Linked DNA regions of Xenopus tropicalis. The protein of the gene in region 1 purifies or fractionates together with the protein of each later gene. This does not show direct contact. Links are inferred from orthologs where the notes say so. Each region holds a gene or a part of one and is shown on either strand. Other genes may lie near its edges.

Region 1 (4,187 bases):
AGCCCAAGTTCATTCTATTTTATTTTTTTTCTTTGAGGGGAAGAATCGAGTGTGGAAAAAACTATTGCACCAGATGGAAACCCACAAAGACACAGGAAGAACAATCTGTCATATTTGATATAGTTTTATTTTTCCTCAGTGGGTACGAGATTCAGCTGTTAATGATGTTTCTGGCCCTTCTTCCTATTAAAGGAACAGTGACACCAAAAAATGAAAGTGTTTTAAAGTAATTAAAATATAATGTACAGTTGCCCTGCGCTGGTAAAACTGGTAAGTTTGCAACAGAAACGCTACTATAGTTTATATAAATGAGCTGCTATGTCGACACGGGGGCAGCCATTGAAGCTGGGAAAAAGGAGAACAGGCACATAGCAGATAACAGATAAGCTTTGTAGAATATAATGGGGTTTTATCTGTTATCTGCTAAGTAACCTGTGCCTTTTCTCCTGTAAATGGCTGCCCCCATGGCTACACAGAAGCTTTATTATATAAACTATAGTAGTCTTTCTAAGGAAAACACACCAGTTGTACCAGTACAGGGCAGCATTACATTATATAGTAATTACTTTTATACACTTTCATTTTTTGGTGTTACAGTCCCTTTAAGGTCACAGATCCTAAGTTGGAATCCTGAGCGAAGCAATATTTAAAAACCAGGACCCGACCCAGACCCGCAACCCGACTCGACCCACATGTGTACATGTTCATGCCTACGTTTTCTTTTTTGTTTTGTTTTTTTACAGGTAACCCCTTGATACACAACCGACTGCAGGACCTACACTGTGTAGCCTCCTTCCCCTCCCCCCCCCATCATTTACCTTTTCTTTGGTAAAAATAGGCATGAGGTGCAGCACAATTGTAAACTGAGCCAAAAATCTGGTTAATAAACAGTAAGAGGGCTTCTGGCAAGGTACACTCTGACATGTCAACACACATAAATGATTCAGTGGCCGCCCTAATTTGACGCCCTCACCCGGTCACCCGCAGTAACGCAACGTATTAATAATGAATATTGCCCCCACAGTTGAGAAGACCTAAAAGCCACCCGAAAACCACATTAGATACAGTCAGCATTGGGCAGAAGTGGGAGCCCGCCAAGGTGGCGTCTCTGTTCGCCTCATTACAGAAGCGCTTGTGTCACTCGGTGCCCATTCTTCCACTTAATATCGAGGGCAGTTTTATATATTATGACAAAGCGTTGTGACTTCTGTACCAAAACCATTCTTCCCGGCACAGATAAATACGACTTTGGGTTACCTATTTTAACTTCTCCCGCAGCCTGAAATACACCAATCGCGAATAAGTTTCATCGGCCTGGATTGTTCCTTCCGGGTAAGCAAAATAAAGTTTCGTTAGTTTTGAATAAGGAACCGAGCGCCTTGCAATCTCGCGAGAGTTCGCCGTAGAACCCATGCAGTCCCGCGTTTCGCGAGAGTTGCACGTACCCGCTCTGGCCGCAGTTGCCAGGCGCTGTGTCGCGGTGTGTGTGCTCTTGTGAGTTTCTCACGGTGCCGGCTTCTTCTTGGGAAGAATATGGCAGACGAGTTCGGTGACGGTGATACTGTGGAGTTGCCAGTGGGAAAGGAAGCAGGTCAGCACAAATATAAAGTTACTGCTGTGCTCAGGGGATTGAGTGAGGAGCAGGAAACCTGAATAGAACGCGTGTAGTGGGTGTGCGTCTGGGGGCAGTGGGCCTGGCGACTGCTTAGTTATGGGACGTACAAGCAAAGGTTGCCCTTGGGTTTTTGCTCTGATACAAAGATTTCCTTTATAACATCTGATGGTTTGAATCTCGCCCTAAATTGACCAAAACACGCAACTTTGTGCATGAGTTGTATCGCTTGAACGCAGCCAAGGTGATCGCTTCTCTGATTTTCAAAGGGTTGCTCTTTCCATTATCAAAAGTGTTGTCTGAGAACACAACGCTCTCTAATATACTTCTGGGGAGAAATATGCTTTACGTCTTGCTGGAAAAAGTTGCCATGTTTCCTGCTCGCAGGGTCAATCTGTTTACTCATTCCCCAGGTTATTTCTGATTATTATTATTTTTTCCCCATCCAAAATGTTGGGGCAACTTTAATCCATATTTCTGCCACACCTCTTCAGTATGGAATTTCAGCAGGTATTTGGGTAAATTTTACCAGTCAGTCAGGCAGTGATTTGAATGAGACACTAAAAGATTAATTAAGTAGGGGCCTAAAGAGAAAGACAAGTAATAAACAATAACAAAATTGTAGCTTCACTGAGCACCAGTTTTTTGGCAGCGATGGTCGGTGACCCCCCTCCATCTGACGGCAGGAAAAAGGCAAAAGACAGCTGATAATTTAAGGAAAACTATACCCCCCACCCAATGCAGGTTTCTATAAAAATACATTGTATAAAACAATGCATATGTAAAACCCTGTTTCATTTAAATAAACCATTTTTGTAAAAATGTGTGTTTTTAGTTGTTTGTGCCATTGGATAATACTAAAAAGAAAATTGCCATTTTAATTACTAAGGGATAATATGATTCACAGTGCGCACAAACACATTACGCCACGTCAGCCAATTAATGGGCAAAGTTCTGTCTTTTGCACACATTCTGCAGGATTTTATATACTATTTGTCCCCTGCTTTTATCTTTTTTACATTACTATTTTTTTTGTTAGTTGAAAAATTCTTTGCAAACACTATGGGCATAGCATGGTAAATGTGACAATGAAAGTGCTGGATGATGAATCATGTTGTAAAAACGCTCATGGTGCATTGCTTTATAGTGGCTGTGTGTGTGTAATGTTTTTCTGGTGAAATAACTGGGGTGCACACTCCGGGGCATTGGGAGAGGTAAGGGTTCCAAAACCCTGGGCTTAGGGCTCTGGCACACTGGTACCAAAGTACCATCCCACCAGTGAACCTACGCAGGCGATTTGCCGAAATCGCCTGCGCTGCATGTGCCATCCCACCGGTGACTTACATTTTCGCTGGTGGGATGGTAGTTCGGGGAGATTAGTCACCCGTGACAAGGGAGATTTGACGCGGCAACTAATCTCCCTGTGTGCCAGAGCCCTTACTGTAGAAGGTTAAACATGCTGTGCTTTGATGTACAGGTATCGGACCCCTTATCCGGAAACCCATTGGGAACAGAGCCAAAACAATCCTATTGGGTGTAAATACTGTTTAAATAATTTTGTTTTAGTAGACTTGAGATAGGAGATCCAAATTACAGAAAGACCTCTTATCCAGAAAACGCCAGGTCTCGAGCACTTTGGACAATGGGTCCCATACCTGTACCTGTAAAATTGAACTGGAGGGTGGAGGTGCTGCTGTCCAGCTTTTCGGCCAGAAATGCAAGACTTGAGCCCAGAAAGCCTGAAGACCTCTGGACATGCTGGCTGTTGGTACTGATTGGTTGCCTGATGATCACCCAGGGAAGACACAGACATTATTTTCACGCTGACAGACTGATTGGGTATTACATTTAAACTGTCACACTAAAGAGCTAGTGGGGTTGTGTTTGGTGAATAATTCCAGCTTAACATTTTTGTAGTACAGGTATCGGACCCCTTATCCGGAAACCCATTATCCAGATAGTTCCAAATTACGGAAAGGCTATCTCCCGTAGACTCCATTTTATGCAAATAATTCGAATTTTTAAAAATGATTTCCTTTTTTCTGTAATAATAAAACAGTACCTTGTACTTGATCCCAACTAAGGTATAATTAATCCTTTTTGGAGGCAAACCCATCCTATTGGGTTTAAATACTGTTTAAATATTTTTTTTTAGTAGACTTAAGGTAGGAGATCCGAATTACGGAAAGACCCCTTATTCGGAAAACCCTAGGTCCCAAGCATTCTGGGTAATGGGTGCCATACCTGTTTATACTGTAGAGTGGCTTGTAGGGAATTTAGGGAATCCAGGGTTTTTTGTTTTGTTTTTTGTTTTTTTTTTTTTTTGAAGGATTTGGTTTTGGCTAAATCTGCAGTCCCCGGCCAAACCAAATCCAAATTAGCATATGCTAATTAGCATCCGGAAAGGGTTAAATGGTTGTGGGGGATTTTTACCCCATATGCTAATTAGGATTCGGTTCAGGGGTTCGGCCAAACCCAAAAAAAGTGGAGATAGTTAATGGGAACATGATAGATTCAATAGCAATTTTGTGTCATCTCTTCATTACCTTAATTTAGAATAACCTGGAGAGTTTTC
Region 2 (4,222 bases), about 15 Mb from region 1:
AGCCGCAGACGAAGGAGGAGCTCCTGTGGGGGGTAATGTGTATGGGGGGGCTCTGTGTATGGGGGGATCTGTGTATGGGGGGGCACTGTGTATGGGGGGCTACTGTGTATAGGGGGCACTGTGTATGGGGGGCTACTGTATATAGGGGGTACTGTGTATGGGGGGCTACTGTGTATAGGGGCACTGTGTATGGGGGAGCTACTGTGCATAGGGGCACTGTGTATGGGAGGGCTACTGTGTATAGGGGGTACTGTGTATGGGGGGGCTACTGTGTATAGGGGGTACTGTGTATGGGGGGGCTACTGTGTATAGGGGGTACTGTGTATAGGGGGTACTGTGTATGGGGGGGCTACTGTGTATGGGGGGCTACTGTGTATGGGGGGCTACTGTGTATGGGGCACTGTGTATGGGGGGGCTACTGTGTATAGGGGCACTGTGTATGGGGGGGCTACTGTGTATAGGGGGTACTGTGTATGGGGGCTACTGTGTATAGGGGGTACTGTGTATGGGGGGGCTACTGTGTATAGGGGTACTGTGTATGGGGGGGCTACTGTGTATAGGGGGTACTGTGTATGGGGGGGCTACTGTGTATAGGGGGTACTGTGTATGGGGGGCTACTGTGTATAGGGGGTACTGTGTATGGGGGGTTACTGTGTATAGGGGGTACTGTGTATGGGGGGCTACTGTGTATAGGGGGTACTGTGTATGGGGGGTTACTGTGTATAGGGGGTACTGTGTATGGGGGGGCTACTGTGTATAGGGGGTACTGTGCATGGGGGGGCTACTGTGTATAGGGGGTACTGTGTATGGGGGGGCTACTGTGTATGGGGGGCTACTGTGTATAGGGGGTACTGTGTATGGGGGTTCTGTGTATGGGGGACACTGTGTGTGGCGGGGCTCCTGTGTATGGGGGGTCTCCTGTGTATGCTGGGCAAATCTGGTACATAGTTATAACTCACTTATAACTGACTGCCTTCTCTCTATATTTGTATTTTAATGTAGGAGTTGTTATATTGTTTTCCTTAGGTAGTACAGTATGAGGGTATAGCACATTTGCGTCTGAACCTGCCATTTCATCTATATAAAAGGAGTATTTTTTTAAAAAATTGGGGTGTGGTAATTGGGGCGTGGCCACAAAAGTGGGCGTGGTCAAAAATTGCTTTTTGTCCCTCTTTTCATTTTTCAAATGTTGGGAGGTATGCACTTGTCCTAGAATATATTTCCACCCCTTTTTGAGGGAACTTTATGTAAAAATAACTTTTTTCATGAAGGCAACATGGAAAAGGTCAAGATTGACAAAAAATAAAATAAACACAATGTAATGTGTAATAGTGACTGCCTATGGCATCTTACAGCAGCGCTTCTGGTATTTGCCAGAATCCACAGACTGATATCCGGATCCAATAAATTTCTCTTCGGCTAGGTTGTGGTGCAAGCATAAAAATGCTGTAAAAACGTGGAACATAAGCGTTAGCGGAACCTATTGGAACTAGCTGGACTCCTGCCGGAGAGCATTTTATGTTGCCCACTTCCCGTGTTTATGTCACGTGTTGGAGCCGGCTAACTGCAGCATGGCGGAGACCGAGCAATCTGTGGGACCTAATGCAAAGGGCAAAAACAAGAAACGCCAGACCCAGCCGGGTGAGTGCTGCTTTCAGTTCTTTGGTAACACCGCTATATTTGCTTTAATGTCTGAGATGAGAAAAAACAAAATGGAGCCGTACACATCTGCTGTATGCCTATATATATATATATATATATATATATATATATATATATATATATATGAAGGCAGTCATTTTACAAGGCTAATACAGTTGTTATAAAAACGTAGACGTCAAAGAGCTCAGTTCATGTTGCAGAACGGCATCCTTTTAGCTATGTCTTTATTTTTCTTGCTAGTGGAGGAATCTGAACTTCTTACTGTCCCTGATGGCTGGAAAGAAGATCCTTTTACAAAGGAAGATAACCCAAGAGGATTACTGGAAGAAAGCAGTTTTGCTACATTGTTCCCCAAATATCGAGAGGCTTACTTAAAAGAATGCTGGCCGCTAGTTCAAAAGGCATTAAATGAAAGTGTATGGATTGTTTATTCCTATTAACCATGTATACCACAAAGTATATCTACACTAGCATTTCAAACCTGAAAATGTTTGCTTACTACTATACTTTTACACTGGGAAATAACAGTAAAATTACAACTTAACCCATTAAAGAGGTTTTGTTAACTGCTTTTTATATTTTTTTTATCAGTGTGTTTTTATGTCACTTTAATGCTGATTCTGTGTGGCAGTTTGTTAAAGCAGAGCTGGATTTGATTGAAGGCAGCATGACTGTCACTACAACCAAGAAGACTTTTGATCCATATGTTATCGTTCGAGCCAGAGACTTGATAAAGTTGCTTGCCAGAAGTGTTCCGTTTGAGCAGGTTTGTGTTACATGTAAATATTTTTGTACAATGACCATTGCTGAGTTATTGTCACTGAGACGGTCAAATTTGTTAGAATCTCCCCGGAGAATTTGTTCACTAAACTCATAGTCTGGACGGGTGCTTCATTTCACTGAAAAAACATACTAGCCCAGGGCTCTAATTTATTGAGCATTGCTTGAGTCTAATCCCAGTGATCATTGTGGCTGCTTTGAGCTTTTTACTGCACTTTTGCATGCCCTATACTAGCAACCATAAATGACGATGGTGCTCGGTATTTTAGTATGCTGAACCATTGTGTTTTTAAGTGAAGAGCAGCATCAGCAACTGTATACACTTACATCTCTAAGTTAATCACAAAACAAAAACTGTAGTACCGTGTTAGCCAGTGTCAAAAATAATAATAATAAAAAAACAACAAACACAAATATGAGAGTATTGTAGAATACCTATATTGGCTAACAATAAAAATACATTGCAAGCTTTCGGAGCTCTAAGGCCCCTTCATCATCATCATCATTTTGCCTGATGAAGGGGCCTTAGAGCTCCGAAAGCTTGCAATGTATTTTTATTGTTAGCCAATATAGGTATAATTTCTACAATACTCTTGTATTTGTGTTTTGTTGTTTTTTTATTATTATCTCTAAGTTACTAACCCTTTCCATGTCCTTTAATTGGTATAATGAATGGATGGCAGTGTCAGAGTGCAGAATAAGTGGTCTGAAACATCTTACATATTTTTCTAGACTATTACCACATTCTTGGGGCACACATTAAGACATTTGGGATCATACTATCAAACCTGTCAGTGATTACTTTTTTTTGCCAGTTTCAGGTAGCACAATGAAAACAAAGTTCCTCACAGTGACACATGGGGGCAAGAGGGCACAGACTAGGGGTAGGAAGAGAAGGTACCTGACTGGCGCCCCCTTATCATCATGCCCTAGGCAGGTGCTTCTTCTCCCTACCCCTAGTTCTGACATTCTGACCCTGAGTAATAAGATAATAATAACAATAAAGACAGAATTTCAGATTCAGTGCCCATTTCACATAAAAAGATGTGAATGACAAAGATATTTGTTTCCATCTAGGCAGTAAGAATACTACAGGATGATATGGCTTGTGACATTATTAAAATAGGCTCCTTAGTTCGAAACAGGGAAAGATTTATCAAAAGGAGACAACGGCTTCTGGGACCAAAGGGATCAACTTTAAAGGTACTTAAAGTATGCAGTTCTGGGAACTAAAATATGCTGTGTAATAATAATGGAGATGCTTATTTAAACTACTATTTCCTAACAGGCACTGGAGCTTCTTACAAACTGTTATATTATGGTTCAGGGTAACACAGTGTCTGCGTTGGGGCCATTTAGTGGATTAAAAGAGGTAAGATGAGTAGATTTTGCATTATTGTGGTTAATAAAAGGAAGAAAAGAATTAAATTTTAATAAACAAATCTTTCTTCTTGTGCAGGTTAGAAAAGTAGTTTGGGATACAATGAAGAACATTCATCCAATATATAATATTAAGGTAACTATATAGGGATGTGGTTTGTAGTCAACATTTGTGTTAAGGTTTTCATTTTGTGTATTTGAGTGGAAATTTTTGTTTAATCCTGTCTAATTTATTGTGAGCCAGTCCTCTTGTGTCTGCTAGCCCTGTTTTTTATGGATGCTGATCTGTGTTCTACTCACATAATTGGAGACGATAGTGTAGAAAGATTTAGTTGCCTTTTATGCAAACTAATGCAAACAAATTATTGGATAAAATGTCAATAATAGATACCTGTATGTA

Evidence for each region.
Region 2: the proteins of znf346 (region 1) and krr1 purify together in Homo sapiens (affinity purification with mass spectrometry; 3 studies listed by BioGRID and IntAct, with this or other methods). This does not show direct contact. The link is inferred for Xenopus tropicalis from reciprocal best matches to the Homo sapiens genes ZNF346 and KRR1.

What each region holds. Positions count from the first base shown.
Region 1 is NC_030679.2:46,420,757-46,424,943, reverse strand, and holds the start of znf346 (zinc finger protein 346), read left to right. Parts: upstream 1-1,387; 5' UTR 1,388-1,533; coding exon 1,534-1,591; intron 1,592-4,187.
Region 2 is NC_030679.2:61,103,402-61,107,623, reverse strand, and holds the start of krr1 (KRR1 small subunit processome component homolog), read left to right. Parts: upstream 1-1,422; 5' UTR 1,423-1,571; coding exon 1,572-1,641; intron 1,642-1,902; coding exon 1,903-2,078; intron 2,079-2,293; coding exon 2,294-2,428; intron 2,429-3,519; coding exon 3,520-3,645; intron 3,646-3,730; coding exon 3,731-3,814; intron 3,815-3,901; coding exon 3,902-3,958; intron 3,959-4,222. UniProt on the Homo sapiens protein: Part of the small subunit (SSU) processome, first precursor of the small eukaryotic ribosomal subunit.